Linked DNA regions of Arabidopsis thaliana. The protein of the gene in region 2 interacts with the protein of the main gene of each other region in a pairwise test. Each region holds a gene or a part of one and is shown on either strand. Other genes may lie near its edges.

Evidence for each region.
Region 1: the proteins of BRX (region 2) and WAVH2 interact in binary tests that used the Arabidopsis thaliana proteins (3 or more experiments, as listed by UniProt).
Region 3: the proteins of BRX (region 2) and AT4G37710 interact in binary tests that used the Arabidopsis thaliana proteins (3 or more experiments, as listed by UniProt).
Region 4: the proteins of BRX (region 2) and AT1G05710 interact in binary tests that used the Arabidopsis thaliana proteins (3 or more experiments, as listed by UniProt).

What each region holds. Positions count from the first base shown.
Region 1 is NC_003076.8:26,259,209-26,264,703, forward strand, and holds WAVH2 (Zinc finger (C3HC4-type RING finger) family protein), read left to right. Parts: upstream 1-1,927; 5' UTR 1,928-2,263; coding exon 2,264-2,665; intron 2,666-2,744; coding exon 2,745-4,496; 3' UTR 4,497-4,962; downstream 4,963-5,495. UniProt on the Arabidopsis thaliana protein: Probable E3 ubiquitin-protein ligase involved in the regulation of root growth. Acts as a positive regulator of root gravitropism.
Region 2 is NC_003070.9:11,445,570-11,450,751, forward strand, and holds BRX (DZC (Disease resistance/zinc finger/chromosome condensation-like region) domain containing protein), read left to right. Parts: upstream 1-1,717; 5' UTR 1,718-1,751; coding exon 1,752-1,753; intron 1,754-2,194; coding exon 2,195-2,348; intron 2,349-3,256; coding exon 3,257-3,648; intron 3,649-3,745; coding exon 3,746-3,875; intron 3,876-3,977; coding exon 3,978-4,297; intron 4,298-4,405; coding exon 4,406-4,484; 3' UTR 4,485-4,623; downstream 4,624-5,182. Other genes in the region: NIP3;1 (NOD26-like intrinsic protein 3;1), read left to right, coding at 4,891-5,022. UniProt on the Arabidopsis thaliana protein: Acts as a regulator of cell proliferation and elongation in the root and shoot. Regulates roots architecture and primary root protophloem differentiation.
Region 3 is NC_003075.7:17,716,300-17,719,277, reverse strand, and holds AT4G37710 (VQ motif-containing protein), read right to left. Parts: upstream 1,151-2,978; 5' UTR 1,045-1,150; coding exon 673-1,044; 3' UTR 507-672; downstream 1-506. Other genes in the region: PSK6 (phytosulfokine 6 precursor), read left to right, coding at 1-88, 183-317. UniProt on the Arabidopsis thaliana protein: May function as negative regulator of flowering transition.
Region 4 is NC_003070.9:1,713,022-1,717,813, forward strand, and holds AT1G05710 (basic helix-loop-helix (bHLH) DNA-binding superfamily protein), read left to right. Parts: upstream 1-1,796; 5' UTR 1,797-2,363; exon of another isoform or gene 2,364-3,174; 5' UTR 3,175-3,176; coding exon 3,177-3,287; intron 3,288-3,397; coding exon 3,398-3,463; intron 3,464-3,537; coding exon 3,538-3,714; intron 3,715-3,840; coding exon 3,841-4,002; 3' UTR 4,003-4,269; downstream 4,270-4,792. Other genes in the region: AT1G05700 (Leucine-rich repeat transmembrane protein kinase protein), read left to right, coding at 1-224; AT1G05720 (selenoprotein family protein), read right to left, coding at 4,656-4,728.

The DNA.
Region 1 (5,495 bases), on a different chromosome or scaffold from region 2:
ACTCTCTCCGACCCTACTGAGTATAGAAAGCTTGTTGGAAGTTTGCAGTATCTTGCATTCACAAGACTTGATATTGCATATGCTGTAAACCGCCTCTCTCAGTTTATGCACAGACCAACCAATGATCATTGGCAAGCTGCAAAACGAGTTCTTAGATATTTGGCTGGAACTACGACTCACGACATTTTCTTTGCTGCTCAAAACGAGCTCTCCCTTCATGCCTTTTCAGATGCAGATTGGGCCGGAGACTCAGAAGATTGCGTTTCAACAAATGCTTACATCGTTTACCTCGGGAAAAATCCAATCTCATGGACTGCCAAGAAACAAAAGAGCGTTGCAAGGTCTTCAACAGAAGCTGAATATCGATCGGTGGCAAATACTGCTTGTGAAATCCAGTGGATATGCAGCCTTCTCACGGAGCTTGGGATCACACTTCCCAAACCGCCTGTGGTCTATTGTGATAATGTGGGTGCTACTTTCCTTTGCGCAAACCCGGTTTTCCATTCCAGGATGAAGCACATAGCCATAGACTATCACTTTATTCGTGGACAAGTTCAGCAAGGCATTCTTCGTGTGGCTCACGTCAACACTAGAGACCAACTCGCTGATGCATTAACAAAACCGCTTCCTCGAAATCACTTCACGGAACTTCGAGACAAGATTGGAGTGTGCATAGCCCCTCCATCTTGAGGGGGCGTGTTAAGGATACATAGGATCATCTCTCTTTAATATCATAATATTCCTCTGTCTCCTTTATGGAACATTCTATATTTGTACAACCCTAGTGTAACCTCCTCTGTACTTGTATATATACTTGTGTAAAGCTATTCGTATAATATAAGTCATTACATTCTTAACAAGATTAACTAACTAATATTTTCATTTTTTGGTTGATAATCAATGATTCCATGGCATGCACGCACGAAGTCATGTGTTGTCTCTACAATGGCAGCCACTTAAAAAACCTACCAAACCATTTACAAATGCTTAACTACAATTTTGTTTAGCAGCCCCCTTATCATATATGTACCCACCCATTTATTGTTTCATTCATTCATGTGGCTCTTCAGCATAACTGCAAGATACTAGAGGCCACAAATTGCAGTAATTTGTATTTTGGAGTTAATACCTTTGATTTAGGACACTAATTATCTCGAGCACTTGATCAGCCAATCTAAAAGGTTGTCAAATCAAAATAATAGAAGTGTCGAAATCAAAATCAGACCAAAACCATCAATTTTTTTGCAATAGCAAGAAGAATTCAAAATTTGCTGGACCTGGACCAGTCTAATCTTTATGTCATATCATTAGCTCTTGTCGTCACCATATATTATAAATCATTTTGTTGGTAAATAAATGAAAAAAAAAAACTTTTCGACCTTTCTCCATCAAAGACCTTTTACAAAATTCCAAACCCAAAACTTTAGGTTAAATTCCTCGCTCCAGCCAGTATGTAATTACGTAAGCAACTATCAATTAAATATACAACTCAATTCACAATCATGAAGATAACTCGAATACAACGTGTTTTAGTATCATTTATATTTCGTAAGGAAAATAAGCTTACCGTTTATTGCTCAGACTGTAACGTCACGTGCCCACATGTTTGACCTTACACTCCATCACAATCTGCATTTCGAAGAATCCGATAAGATTGGAAATGATTTATATAATCGAACCACATTGTGGAACATTCAAGAGGAATCCACATTAGACAATCTAATAAACTGTTTAATATTTTGAAAAGAAAGATTTTACATGCAAATGGAAAACAAAGATCTCCGCGTCTCAAGTTATTTGAAATCTCATTTTGCATATGGTCGGTTATTACCGTTGACTTTTAACTTTATCGTCCATCCCAATGAAACAACACTTGAAATATGTAAAAAAAATAGCAAAATTGACCCAAAAAAAAGAAGGACTTAACGGATCAGTGATTATTTTCTTCGAGGCAAAACAATTACATGCAAATGGAAACAAAAGCCAATTCACACGCATAAAAGTCACAATTTTTACCTTATAATATTCCTACAACTTAAAATAACATAAAAAAAAATGTCTTTATCGAAACATCACTAAAGAAAAAGAAATCTCTCTATAGTCTTTATCTTAGTATTTAATTTCTCCATCTTCCTTATGATCCATTATGCCCAAAGTCCTTCTTCTTCTTCTCTATAATTACTTCCACAAATAGAAGAAGAAGAAGAAGAAGAATAATATAGAAAAAAAGAGAGCTTCTCTTCTTATTTCTTTCTCACAGGAAATGGTGTTTGGTTGGAGAAAAGCGTTTTGCACTTCCGTTTCAAGTAATCAAGATAAACCTCAACAACATTCATCATTACACACTACTGATCCTCCAATTCCCACACCAAGATTCCGATCAAAGTTTGGTTTTTTATCCAACCCTTCAACTCCTCGTCTCCGATCACGCGGCGGAAGCGGCACTGGATGCCGCTCCTCAGCTTCCACATCAGTCACTATCCCATCTCTTCCAACTAGTCCCAAACTCCATTGCAGGACTACGAGCAATGCTACTCCAAGGACTAGTAACAGCTCAAGTCCCAAGTTTTTCTCTAACCCTTCTTCTCCTAAATCATCATCTTCTTCTTCCTCTCAAGGCGGCGGCGGCGTCTCTCTCCTCCGTGCCACGCTTCTTCTCAACAAGGTAGTTACTTTTGATTCAATCAAGTTCTTAATTTGAAAGACATAATCTAAAGCTCCGTTTTGTGTGTGTGTGGATGCAGAGTAATAGTAGTAGATGTGCGATTTGTTTGCAGAGAGTGAATTCAAATCAAAGCAACTCGACGGCGGCAATTTTCACGGCGGAGTGTTCACATTCGTTTCACCTTTCTTGCGTCAATGGATTAGAAGACAAGCGTTGTCCGTTTTGCTCTGCCGCATGGAATCACGCGCCAAAGTCGAATTATCCGGCTGTTAATAATAACTTCGGATCCGACCCGATTAGACGACCCGAGATCCGAGAGATCAAAACGGGGAAGTCACTGAGAGTGTACAACGACGATGAGCCGTTAGCTTATTCGCCGGTTTCTCTTGCTCAGATCAACACTATACATGAATCAGACGAAAACGACGACGTTGAAGATGACGATGACTTCCCCGGATTCTTCCGAGATTCTTCGATTACGTCTGATATGGTTCCTTCAATCTCAGGAAATCTGGAGGTTAAGTTGCTGCCGGAATCTGCCGTTGTGGAAACCGGGAAAAAGAAGGAGACACACGTCGTCATCATGAAACTAAAAGCGTCTCCGTCGCCGTCGTCCATCACCGATGCGATTAAGGCGCGAAGACCATCGATAGATCTGGTAACGGTTCTCGATTTAAGCAACGGCGGTGCTAATTTGCAAACGGTTAAACACGCGATGAGATCGGTGATCTCTCTTCTCCGAGAAATGGATCGTTTATCGATCGTCGTTTTCTCGACGGGGTCAAAACGGTTAATGCCGTTACGACGAATGACGGCGAAAGGAAGACGATCGGCGCGGCGAATGGTCGACGCACTCGGCGGAATGGAAACCACCGGCGGAGTTGGAATGAGCGTTAACGACGCGTTGAAGAAAGCGGTTAAAGTCGTTGAAGATCGGCGGGAGAAGAATCCGTCAACGAGCATCTTTGTTTTATCGGACGGTCAAGATCAACCGGAGGCAGTTTTGAAAGCTAAACTAAACGCAACGCGCATTCCGTTCGTCGTGTCTACCACGCGTTTCTCTCGTCCGGAGATCCCGGTTCATTCCGTTTACATTGCTTCTCCTGGAGCGTTGCTTCACGCGCCGCTACGAGACGCGTTCACCGAAAGAATCGCTTCGTTGCTCAACGTGACTCTCCATAACGTGAAGCTAAATCTCAGTTTGGTCAACGGATCTCATTTGACTGAGATTTCATCGGTTTACTCTTTAACCGGTCGACTCGAGAATTTCGGATCCGGTTCTGTCATCCAAGTCGGAGATTTGTTTGCGGAGGAGGAGAGAGAGTTTCTCGTTGAGCTCAAAGTGCCGACTTCGTCGAGTGGTTCCCACCAAGTAATGTCCGTACAGTCGTCGATCGTTGACCAAATGACACATCAGCCAATGACATGTCCTAAAGAAAAACGATTTTTGATCCCACGGCCACAATCCGTCAGATATGTATCTTCAAGCATCGAACGGCTGAGAAATTTACACTCCATGTGCCGCGCTGTAGCGGATTCACGCCGGCTTATCGAGCGTGAGGATTTATCCGGAGCGTATCAGGTTCTAACGACGGCTCGGTCCAATGCGTCTCATTCGGATGATAGTTTAAGGAGTTTGGAGGTTGAGCTAAATGAACTTAGCCGGATTAAACCGAGAAATAGTATATTAAACCGAACTGAAGATAAACCGGAGCAGCTTACCCCTACTTCGGCTTGGAGAGCCGCCGAGAAATTAGCTAAAGTGGCTATTATGAGGAAGCATTTAAATCGAGTCAGCGATATGCACGGCTTGGAAAACGCCAGATTTTAATTTTAATTTCCCTTTTTTTCGAAAATTCGATTTCAATGATTTTTGAATATATAATGGTACATAATTTATATAAGGAGGATAAGCAATAATTTAGTAAGGTATAAATAATAGAAGTATGATTATTCAGAAAAAGACCCACATAGGTGCATGATAGCGACAAGCAGTAGCCGACGGGTGTGGCCTTTTGTATTGCAGAGAGATTGAGACCCTACATTAGAAGGAATTAATTGGTCTTTTAGCATTTTTATCTTCTTCTTCCTTTTTGTAATCTTCAAAAACTCCAAATTAATGACTGAATAGTTAAAAAAAGTTGTAGATCAAATAAATGAAGTCTGCTTTTTTTGTGTACTATATAGAATTAAAAGTTGAGGTATAGTGGATTAGAGAGTGTGCTTGTAATGCTGGACTTCAAAATCAAAAGTTAAGTTTATATTATCATATGCCGTTTAACTTAAGAGGATCTATAATATATTATATCTTTCCAAATGAATGATCATGATTAGTCATGTGATCATCATTATAGCCTATTTTGTTATAGAAGGCACCGGGTTTGAATGATTTGAATAGTGCGTGGGGATTGTCTTTGTTGGTTGTTGGTGAATGGTTTGGTGGGTGCACCGTGGTAGAAACCAGGTCATGCGCCGTTGCAAAGCTTTCTTCTCGCTTAAATTCATTCATTTTATATCATTAAGACATTTACTAATTATATGTAGCTAGCGCCAAGTTGCAATTTGTTTTGAATGCAATGATTTTGTATACTTTTAAAATGGATGAAATGATTAACTATTGTCAAAGGTCCACTTCTCGATGTGATTCACTAAAATGATCAGTGGCAGAAGAATCTCGAACTATATATATGGTCAAATCATAACTAAAAAAACTAAGCTATTATTTTTTCACAAAAAAAAAAACTAAGCTATCATTCATCACGCAGTTACATATTGCATATGGACAATGTTAATGTCAACTAATGAAAGGGAAAGAATCTCGAACTATATA
Region 2 (5,182 bases):
TCTCATTTTTTCCAAATTTCTCTTCCGGAAAATGAAGATTTCTATGGGTTTTTGAGTTTGGAGATTTTCTCAGTGAAGTTTATTACATAATCAGATTCGAAGAAGAAGACATTTCAGGTGAGTTTATAAAAATTCTCTTTTTTGAAGATTTTTCTCGGGAAAATAAGAAAACAGAGAGATTCGTTGCTCTGTTTCTGTTCTTCTGTAGAAACGATTAGTCACTGGTTTTTTTCCGATCGATCTTTTCAATACTATTTTTTCCCGGAAAAAAAAAGATTCAGAGATTTTTTTTTTTTTTTTTGCGTTACCTTTTTCTGCAAACATTTGTCACTTGATTGATTTGATTTAGACAGATTCGATTCGTCATTTTTTTCTGATTAATACCAAAATTTTCTCACTAAACCCAAATCAGAAACTTCACCGAAAAATGTGTATTCATTCTTCAATATTAATATAAATTTTCATTTTCATTCAAAAGTTTCCCGGTATTTATTGTTCTTTTACTTTTTTGAGAAAACGCCGAATTTTTTCTCAAAAACATTAAAAGCAAAATTGTAGTATCATAAATTGTTTTCGTCCTTTTGTAACACATTTATTACAATTACTGTCTGTAACACTACTACACTAATCTTCTCTGCAGCCATTGATGGTCTATTTATAGACGTAGACTCAGAACTAACCCCACTCGTGCCGGCTTCCTAAATAGACCAAAGCCTTCAAGAGGAAAATAAAGCAGAAGCTAGCTATCTAGTATCTCAATAATCTCAGATCATATCGCTTCATTTCTCAGATATCGAAACACAAAGGTGAGTGAGTAATAAACAAAACCCACTAATCAAAATTTTATTTTTTGGATTGTAATGATTAAGAAAAAAAGAAGAAGTCGTTTTCTGAGGTGAGAATAATAATGGTTTTTGTATCAGTTTTTGCCTTTGCTTTTGATATCAAAACAGAGTTTTTTTCGTGATTCGTGATTGTTTTTGCGATTTTATCTTTTACTTTGGATATAGTTTTAGTTTTCATGTCGCGACACGCTTTAGATTGGTCCATCATCACTCAAAACCCTAAAAATAGAAACCAATCTCTTTTTCTTTTTCTTAACACGTGACTGTCAAGATTCCATTTTCTTGTTATATTTTTCAATTTTGTTTTGCTTTTCTAGTGTTTCCAATTGTTTTCTTCTTTACTTATGTATTTGTCTTGATCGATGTTAAACACGCGGAATCAGAACATATTATTTGATTCTCTTGAGTCATCACAATAATCTGATTTTTTTTTAAAATGTCATAAATTTCGGCTACTGCAAAAAAAATGTAATTATTCTTCGAACTTTTGTTAGTTGAGGGATGGGTTTAGGATCTTTTGCTGCACACAAAAGTATTAAGTTATTCTTTAACAAAAAAAAAAAACTATTTAAAGTAGAATAAAGAAGCATTTGTCTCTATTATGATTGTCTTTAGAATATATTATTACTTGTAAATAATGTGTTTATACAATTTTCAGGTGTTTAGATTTGCACAATTAATTTTTAAAATATTAGTATTTCTTAACTGGGTCCTATTTTCTGATCCCCAAGCTCTCTTTCTTTTCTAGTTATAACATCTTTTTTTTTTTAATAAAGAAAAGTGTAACATGTAGTTTTAATATCTCTTTCAACACTTTTGTCTTTATCAAGATCTCTTCACTAATTTATACCCATCTTTTTTTATTCGCTCTTAAAATAGGTAACACAAATATCCGACCATGGTGTAATGTAAACTGTTTTTCTTTCTTTCCATTTTTAAAAAATGGGTTTAGTACTTGAAATATTTAGCATTGGTTCTTTATGAGTTAAACTACTAACCAGTCAAGTTACATTTTCTTTTTGTTATAACATGAGTAGTTGTTTCCTGACTAGAGATATGTCAACAACTTTGTCCTTTTGTGTTTGTGTTTTGCGTTATAAGAAAACGACAATTGAAATCCAAATACCCTTTTCTAGCTATATGTTCCTAACTTGTAACTAATGTTTACATGTGTACTACGATTACATAAGCTTTACCCGTGTTTTATGTCGGATTGTGAGAGTGAGCTCTACTTTAACGTTCTTAATTACTTTTTGTTTTGTTTTGTAGAGTATTATTATTGATTTGAGTAGAGTAGTGTGAGGTTTGGTTTGTGATGATGTTTAATAGAGTACTCTCTGGTTTTATAGGTCTGAAAAGGCAGAGAACAACTCAAAAAAGAGACCAAAAATGTTTTCTTGCATAGCTTGTACCAAAGCAGACGGAGGTGAAGAAGTCGAACATGGAGCGCGTGGAGGCACCACTCCCAATACTAAAGAAGCCGTCAAAAGCCTAACCATTCAGGTCTCTCTCTTCTTTCTTTGTTGATCCTTCTTCTGCTTTTATTTTCTTTCACTTTATTTTATTGCTTTTCTCTAATTGCCTTGCTCGTGAAACAAACAAAGACACAAACCCCAATTAACGTATCTTAGAGGACTTAAAAAGGGTCCATATATTTGACTATTATTCGTTTTCTTTACCAAAGAATAGAGTTTGAAGTCATTAGTATATAGAGGTTACTGTTGTTTAGGACAGAGATCTTACAATGAGGTAACTTCACTTCATTTTTTGGAATCTTTCACCAATCTCTCTTTAATAGTTTTCATGTCAGTGTTTGCTTCCTCTCTATGTGACTAGACATATGAAAGTCAAAAACAACTACTGAAACAATTTAAACCCTCATTGTACATATCCTTGAATTATGTAGCCAGTTGAATTATCAGGACTATCATTAAAGCTTATATTGGGGTCATACTTTGATGAATATTGCTAGTGAAGCTTGATCTAAATACCTTTCTCTCAAATAAGCTTTAGTGGATTCTTACCTAGACAAGGAAATAAAGAAAGGGTTTTTTGGGGTGGGGGTAACTATTTTAGTAAATCAAAAGAACATAAACAAAAGAAATAGTGGGCCGTTATGATTGTGGTGCAGGCTAAGAAGACAATATGAAGTTTCTTTTTTTAATACATATGTTTAATTATGTTAGATCTCATAGCTTTATTGTTGTTCTTTTAATAATGATCATAGTAGACCTCTTTTTACTTCATTGGGCTAAAAAGTATACTTAGTCATACTTAAAAAGGCTTGAAACTACCTATAATGTTTGTGTACCGTTATACTCAACATTCTTGTGTGTTTAAATGGATTACTTTGATAAACAAGATAAAGTTTTTGAATGTAATCGGTCTTTTTGGGTGCATATGTTACGCAGATTAAAGATATGGCTTTGAAATTCTCTGGTGCTTATAAACAATGCAAGCCATGCACTGGTTCCTCTAGTAGTCCCTTGAAGAAAGGACATAGATCATTTCCGGATTATGACAATGCCTCTGAAGGTGTTCCATACCCTTTCATGGGTGGAAGTGCTGGTTCAACTCCTGCTTGGGACTTCACAAACTCCTCTCATCATCCAGCTGGACGGTTAGAATCAAAGTTCACTTCAATATATGGAAATGATCGAGAATCTATCTCTGCACAGTCTTGTGATGTTGTACTGGATGATGATGGACCAAAAGAGTGGATGGCTCAAGTAGAACCTGGTGTTCATATCACATTTGCTTCTCTTCCCACTGGAGGAAATGATCTCAAACGGATCCGTTTCAGGTATTTGAACTACTCAAAACAATCTCTATATCTTCATGGCATTCAACGCTGAAACATGAGATAAAAACTAACAATTACTTGTGTCTTGTTTTGAAAGCCGAGAGATGTTTGATAAGTGGCAAGCTCAACGGTGGTGGGGTGAGAACTATGACAAGATCGTTGAGCTTTACAATGTACAGAGATTTAACCGCCAAGCTCTCCAAACGCCTGCAAGATCCGACGATCAGGTAAACACATATATCCTTAGATCCCTTAGTCTTTCTTCAGAACAGGATCTATATGAATCTTGTCTTTTAAGCCAGAGAGGGTAACACAAGTTTATATTTCAGTCACAGAGAGATTCAACGTACTCAAAGATGGATTCAGCAAGAGAAAGCAAAGACTGGACTCCAAGACACAATTTCAGACCTCCAGGATCTGTCCCGCATCACTTTTATGGCGGCTCTAGCAACTATGGACCAGGAAGTTATCATGGAGGACCACCGATGGATGCAGCAAGAACCACAACTTCTTCCAGAGATGATCCACCTTCCATGAGCAATGCTAGTGAAATGCAAGCTGAGTGGATTGAAGAGGACGAGCCTGGTGTTTACATTACCATCAGACAATTATCAGATGGGACTAGAGAGCTACGTCGAGTCAGATTCAGGTATAACAAAACGTCTAAAACTAAGCATTTGCTAATCATATACATTTTGAAAGTTGGTAATCATACCGTGACTAACCGGAATCTATGGTTTTGTGGTTTAATCAACAGCCGGGAACGGTTTGGGGAAGTGCATGCAAAGACATGGTGGGAGCAGAACAGAGAGAGAATACAAACACAGTACCTCTAAGCAAACGAAATATTATGAGTACCAAAATCTTTAATTAATTAATTAATCTCCTTCACATAACAACACAAACTACACACATTTTGCTTATCTTTTTGTTCATCTTAGCTTAACATCTATACATAAATTAAGTGTTTTGAAATATCATTTCTAATCAAAGCTGATTACATTTACATATAATTATAAGTCTATAACTATCGTGTAAACCATGTCGTGTGTTTTGTGACAAAGATAAAGAAGTCAACTATGAACCTAAAAGAATTTATCAACATGCGGTATAGACTATAGAATAAAAAAGTCAACTTTATTATTTGCTTATAAGTTATAACGAATACAAAGTAGAGTTGACCATTTGAGTTTTTAGATGAGAAAACCATAAACTTGGAGGAAAGTCACCATAGTTCCATCAATGGCTGAGATTTCTGATATTACTACTCAGACACAAACCGTTGTCTTGGACATCGAAAACTATCAATCCATTGATGATTCCCGGTCGTCGGATTTATCCGCTCCTCTTGTGTCCGTATCGTTCGTTCAAAAGGTGAGCCGCCTCTTTTATGTTGCGATATGGTTTCTTAATTTGTCGTGAAATATTTGTTAGTCCAAATCAAGATTTTATATTTCGTGTGATGTTTGCTATAGCCTATATGCAAGCTCAATCTTGACTTTGGTTCTAATTATTGGTAACTGATTTTCCAATC
Region 3 (2,978 bases), on a different chromosome or scaffold from region 2:
TTGCGCCACCATGCTAACGTGCAGCGCCCGCCCTGAACCTGCCTACTTCGCCTCCTTCACAACCTCTCCGGCGGATACACTTAGTCTGGTTAGTATTATATGCGTAAACACATGTTGAATGTTGATTCATGCGTAGTTATATATTTTCGTTTGTAATTTTATGTTTCATTGTGTTTCATCAGGAAATGATAGAATCAAAATTACATGAGGTGGCGGGAGAGAGCTGCGATAAAGAAGACGACGAAGATTGCTTGGTGAGAAGAACATTGACGGCTCATCTTGATTATATCTACACACATAAGAATAATCATCATTAATTAGCTGTAAAATTATTCTAACGTTAATTGTTGTGAATTTCAAATTATTCTCACATGTTAAACATGTGTATATAGAATCATTGATTAATTCAATTTATTCTTTTAATGAAAATATCAAATTATTCCCAATGTAGTTAGAATCCTTAATCAATCCAATTATGTTTTATTTTAATCAAAAGTCTTAACTCCCACAAATTATGTGTGTGTTACAGATAAATGACATAACAAATTAATTCTAGAATGCGAGTCTGAAAAATATATGATTACATCTTTCTGGTTTATTAAAAACAAACTAAAAATAAATACAAGAATGTTAAGCATTTCAATCAAAAGAAGCATTTTGCAAGAGTAGAAGCTACCATCTGGAAATATTTGCAGGATTTTGGAATGAGAAATCTCCCCAAGATGATGATGGATCAAACGCAAATGACGAAGAACTCTGCTTTGCTGCATCATCCGAAGTCTTGAGCGGTTTAGCCTGCACAGTCTCGTGCTCAGGTGCACCGGTTAGCCTCTGAACCAACACTTTGAAGTTTACTGGCTCGACTCGGTAGACATGAGGATGCATTGGATTCAAAGGTGATGATATTGCAGGCCTCTTCAAGGGCTTTGAAGGTTGTTTACGTGTCGAATGGAGCGAAGTTAGGTAATTTTTCGTTGCCCTTGTGGTGGTTTCTTGAGCGTTAAGGTAACTCTGAGACATAAATTGTTGTGATGTTGCTTCCATTGAGACTTGAGATGTCGCTTAAAATTCTTTGAATGTGAAAGTTATGTTCTTCTGATATTTATTGATCTTTGAATGTGAAAGTTATGTTCTTCTGATATATAATGATGGATGTGCAACATGTTCAACGAGGGTCAAGCCTTTGGTTTTTGACTCTTATTAGGGAATTGACTATTGAGAACATTGTTTGTTTTTCTTAGTTTTGTTTATGAGAATCATAAGTGAAAGGGGAATTTTCAACGTGTGTGTTCTTAATATTTTATTGATTTGATAGTTTTCGAAGTTTCTGATTAGGATTAAACTATTAAGAGGAAGATTCTTTAATCAAACTGAATTAATACTTTATCAAATATTATAATAAAGAAAGCTGTGGCTGTCCACGTGACGGTTTGATATTATCTGTAATGGTAAGAAGATTAAGTACTTATCAATAGCCTTCGGATTTGAATCTAATCGGATTCCTTGATCTTTTTATTTTATTTACTTTTATAACAAGTAATCTATTAGCCGTAACAAAAAAACAAACTAATCTATTATTTTGATTTCTAGTAATACAGTGCGCATAAGAGTCACGTCAGTCGGAACGTTAGAGAAAAAGGTAAATTTGAACGTTACATAACGGTAACTCTTTTGGTTTATTTCTTTAACTACGATGCTCTAGATATCTTTCAGATTTAAAACATTTGAGATATATATATATTTGGAAGAGGTCACATAAGATGATAATAACAAAGAAGCTTAACCTCTGTTCTCGTGGTTATTTGATTTGGTAGATTAGTCTTAAAATTGTCTTGAAATGGAAAATAAATTAGGCAGTCTTGAAAGAATCTACTTGAATTTAATTGTTCATATTGATATATAGGAAAAATAACAATCCTAGTTCTGTTTTATTAAGAAGATTAGTTTCTTTGAAAAACTAAAATATATGTCTGAAATGGATATTTGGGCATAAAGGTTTTTATTTTATTTTTAGATTAGTATATGATACTTGCATGATTATGTTGCACATAGTTTTCTGAAATTCAGAAGGCGTTGTAATGAAAATTTTGATTTGATTTTTGCAGGTTTTTTAGAAGAGCATAAACTCAACCGGAGTATGTAAAGAAAACGCCTTGATGATGAAAGTGATGATGTGCAGATGGAGTAGTGATGGAAGGAGAATGTCATAGAAGAGAGAAATCTAAATGCATCATTGGGATTGTGCCGTGCCATACTTTGATTGAGTGTGGAATGTGTATATATCAGATGTGTGACGAATGCTTGTAAAATATATTGATTCAAACTATATATCAAACTCAAGAATAAGAACAAGATTATGAATAAAAGACTCTCTCTTTTATTGCTTTAAGAAAATAACTCAAAACCTAAAAACACACAATCTTAATCTCTCAACTCATAAGTTTTGCAACACTCTTGCAACTCCTTTATATAAGAAAAGAACTAGACAATTTCCTAATCCTATTAGGAAAACACACATAAGTATTTAGGCAACTTCCTAAACACAAAGTCTAATTTTAATTTCCTTTTTGCTTGATTGCTTCTTCTTCAAGTAAGCTTCAAGCTTACTCCAACATTTTCCCCCTTAAGCTTGAAGCTACACTTTGTCATATCTTGAACTCCCACAAGATCTCTCATCTCTTTGAACTTGATTCTCCCGAGTGCCTTTGTTAGAATGTCGGCTCTCTGTTCGGTTCCGGGGACGTGCTCCACCTCAACTTGTTCATTCGCAACGCACTCACGAATAAAGTGATACCTCTTGTGAATGTGTTTGCTTCGTCCATGGAAAACCGGGTTTTTCGTGAGTGCTATAGCCGACTTGTTGTCAATTAATATCAACACTTGCTTACACGTTTTTCCAACAATCTCTTCAAGTAACTCTTGAAGCCAAACCGCTTGTTTTGCTGCCTCTGTAGCCGCCATAAACTCAGCTTCACAAG
Region 4 (4,792 bases), 9.7 Mb from region 2:
ATGTGAGTGATTGGGTGATATCGATCTTGAGGTCTACGAATGATGTGAACAATGTTATAGATTCAAAGATGGCGAAAGATTTTGATGTAAACTCTGTATGGAAAGTTGTGGAGCTTGCATTATCCTCTGTTTCGCAGAACGTCTCTGATAGGCCAAACATGCCACATATTGTTAGAGGATTGAATGAGTGTCTTCAAAGAGAAGAGAGTAACAAGAACTATTGATGTCACAACGCAAAGGGTGTAGAATAAGTCAAGGGGTTGGAAACAGAAAGATGTTGAAAACTTGGGAGTGTTTATATATTTAAATTTTTGAAAGGCTTTTTAAAGTTTGTGTTGCTAATGCTATATCTAAAAGCCCAAAGTAATAATGTAATGGAATAGAAAAGAATCCATAATAAATAGGAAAAAACAAAGAAAAAGTACCTAATCCGGTAGCCACAAGGAAAAAAGAGGACAAGAAGATGGTGACAACAAGACAAAGACCGAAGCCGCGTAGGACCCCAAACGTACCTTTTAAATAAAACGCTGATTCCTTTCGGACTTTTGCGTCGCACGGTCTGTGCCGCTGTCCCCACAAATCTCTATTTTTTACACACGCAATCTCTACCTCTGCGTCTGCGTTTCGAAACGTGACTCTTCTAACCGCTCCACGTGAGTGACTTTTAGAGCGAGTTTGGTGTCCGAAACCACGCGTGCGCGTCTCCTCAACGCCTGAGTCTCTCTATGAAGTTGCATTGACGTCAGAAAAATTAAATTTGTCTTACTTGAAACATAAAAATTTACAGTAGTAAATTATCATTTTCATAACACTTCATTTATTCTCTTGTAGTTAAACAACGGATATACTAATGAAATGAACTCGTTCAATCTAATTAAAATCTCATTATTAATGGTAGACGCTAGAGAATCTCATTATTGTAGGTGTTAATTTATGAAAATAATACATCACTTTCAATCACTGATTTGATTAGATTGATGGATTTTATATACAGCCCATGTTTTTAACCTCTCTAGTTGAAATTTTGGTTGATTTTAAAGAGAAGAGAACAAAAATTCAAAGACGAAAAAAGCAAAAAGTGGAAAGTAGAAACAAAAAGACTGATGGTGCAGAGAGCTGGTCAAATATGTTGACAAAATAAAATAACCTTACAATGTCACTATCATCAATAAATGAAAAAATAGTTCTCTCTATCTATCTATAATAATAATAATAAAAGCAACTTCTACCTGGGACTGATATTAACTACGAAGACCTCTCACTCTCTCAATGGGTTGTATAATAGCTGTCAAATTATGATGTATTTAGTCACAAGACAAAAGACTGATTCTGAACACTAAAGCCTAATTAGGGATTAGTCTTTACTCTTTAGTCATCTGTTTCATCTTTATTATTAAAGTTTGCAGGAGTTGTAGTAGATGGTGTGGGGGCAATATATGCAGAACATGCATGCTTCCAAAATGTCCTAACTACGTCACTTAAGGTTCCATTTTTTTCTATCTAAACTAAGAAATACTTATGTATCTATTAATCTACATCTAATTGGTTGTCAAAAAAAAATGTATCATAGAAGTCTTTGGAGCACATAAATAAAACATCTGGAGATTTTCTGAACATAATGTGAGGTCAAGAATTTGTGTGCAAAATTACAATTTTCAGGCATGAGTGGCTCTGATTTTGACCATTTGAATAAATTTGTAGCTTGTTATAACCTTTACACTCGTAAGGAAAAAATTATCAAAAAATATTGATAGTCGATAAAATTGAAAACTCTAGATTTATACAAATCAATAAATAAATTTGAAAATAATTAAATGAGAAGTAAATGACATTACTTCACCCAAAAAGAGTCTAGACGAAAAAGACAGACATAAAAATAAGTCCCCTTCTATTTGTTTGGAGCATAAACAAAAACAGACACAGTTTCTTCTCTCTCTCTCTCTGTCTCTTTCCTTTTCTCACGCCGAGATTTCTGCGACTGCTCTAATCTTACGACCTTATAAGAAACGACGCTTATTTTCACTCTGCTTGAGCTCTTCATCGTGTCACACAGCACGATCTTGGACGTCGTTTTAAGCGCAAAACAAAGGAAAAAGACTGACGTTTATACATACTAAATACTGGTTTGGAGTTTTGCCTTTTGGACTCAGAAAACTCAAAAGAGAGAGAGAGACATTTCTGTATCTTATCGGGTTTTGTGTTGTCAGAAAGAAGCTCAAGGACAAAAAAAAAAGCAATTATTTTTAGGGTTCAAACGAAGCAAAATTTGGAACTTTCAGAAGTTGTGGGTGGTGGCTTCTTGAACAATAAAGCTTTTTCTTAGACTCTTCTTCCAATTTGTGACTCTACCTATCTCTCTCTCCGTAAGCTCTTTCTCTCTCTCTTTATTCGTTCTTTCTTTATTTGCTCTGTTTCTTTACTCCATTTTTGGCTTAATTACACCAAATTTAGTCTGCTAAAAGCTAATTTCAAGCATAATTACTTATCTCTCCTCTTCTTGTTGCTAACCTTCAGTTGGATTAGGTTTTGATTTCGTTTATACGACAATCCCCGTGACTGAAAAAGTTACCAACTTTGATAGATATCGTTACCAGATTCTACTCATAGTTTTGTTATTGTAATGCAAGAAGTTGAGTTCTTGTTTACATTAACTTCAATAATTCACTGAGAGTGACTTTTTGTTCTCCTCTGATCCGTGGAGGATTCTCTATATGTGTTTTGTTTTTTGGGGGGGTTTTCTCCTGTTTTTAGGGACTCTATTGATTCATGCATATATGATGTTATTCTCTGTTTATGAGTTTATGCAAATAATCTAAGCAAGGTATGATAACATATTTAATCTTTTTGTTTGAGCTTATAATTGTGCTTAGAAATCTTAAAATAATGCTTAAGCTGATGTGAACTTGAGGCCTAGCCTCTGACCACAAATCCTAGCCTACTTCGTTGACCATACCTTTGTCTTGGCTTAATATTCTAAATTTCTCTTCCAAATCCTGTCTCCCAATGCATTGGTTGGTCCAAAACAAGATCATCATTTCATAGATCTTGTAATCTTTCTGGTCTGTAATTTGCTCTAGGATGGTAACCTTGTACCCTATGTAACATGTCTTGTTAGTATAAATTTTGGGTCATGTTGTGTTGATGACTCTTTAGCGCATTTCTTATTGACAAAAGGTATGGAATTCTCTAGAGACGCTGGAATGATGATGGAGAATAAGCGGAATGTCTGCTCTCTCGGAGAAAGCAGTATCAAACGCCACAAGTCTGATCTCTCTTTCAGTTCCAAGGTTTTGCTTATCCTAGCTAGTTTTCATGGATTTCTCGGTCGAAATAGTCTTCGGTACAACAAATTGCATGGTAATGATCCGTCCATCTTTGTTCTCTTAATGGCAAACAGGAGAGGAAGGACAAGGTTGGAGAACGTATTTCAGCTCTTCAACAAATAGTTTCCCCTTATGGAAAGGTAACTTTGTTTTTTTTGGCAAGCAAATCAAAAGAATCTGTCTCTCAGCTCATACTTTTCTCTAATGTTCACAGACCGACACTGCATCAGTTCTTCTAGACGCGATGCATTACATAGAGTTTCTTCACGAACAAGTGAAGGTCTGCAGTTCAATACCAAGCATGATTCATTCATCTTTATCTGAGTTCCCATGTTCTTTTGTACAGGTGCTAAGTGCTCCGTATCTGCAAACGGTACCTGATGCTACGCAGGTGAGTATGATCTTGAATCTCAACTTCATTTATACTTAGTTCACTAGTTCTACTCTGCATCTGACAGATCTTCACTTGGAACTTGAATACCTTGCACGGACTGATTTTCCCGTCTTTTGTAACCAGGAGGAGCTGGAGCAGTACAGCCTGAGAAACAGAGGATTATGTCTTGTTCCAATGGAGAATACAGTTGGAGTTGCTCAAAGCAACGGCGCTGATATATGGGCGCCCGTGAAGACTCCTCTATCACCAGCTTTCAGTGTCACATCTCAATCACCCTTTAGATGACCAATTCGACTAATCACCTACTACGATCTTTGTGTTAAGCCTAAAAAAGAATGACCAATTGTTATTTTTCTGATGATGCCTCTGTAACATATATAGACAGAGAGCACATGATGTTGGTTTAGAACAGCTCATGGTTGGCAATGATTGTTATTATTATTCGACTGCTTAATGCATCCCCTTACTTTGGACTTGTGTAATATGCCCAAACAGGAACCAAATGATTTTAATGCAAAGTAATCTTTATCCCAAAAAATGCCTCAGATATCTTAAGCTTTTCTTTGTGTGATTCTTACCTACAGCATCCAATACATTATTCTAGATCTAAAGACCCAAGGCAAGCTTTCTTTCAGTGCTGAAGGTATGATCGTGGATTTCCCTAATACATATAGCTTTCTTTCAGTGCTTGTAATAGTGCCAAACTGCTGACCACAGAATTAAGATTATCCTTTCATAAGAACATTGGATTAAATACATTACCACTGAGAATTGCAAAGGTTCAGAACATACAGACTGTTGATACCAAGGGACCAAATAGCTTGGACAAAGATAAGATAAGTCGGTCATAATGTGTTTTTAACTACTAGATTGCAATGCTTTGGCATATGTAAATGTGACAGGGAGGATCATCCTCTTCAGCTCTACATGGGATAAAACTAACTTGCTGCAGTAGGCTTGACCTTCTCTCGCATATACTGCAGTAGATGTTCGCGTTTCCAGTTGTCGATTCTGCAAAACAAGCAAATCAAGAAACAAAGAGGTCAGCTACAACCTTGGAGGAATGAAGTTGTGT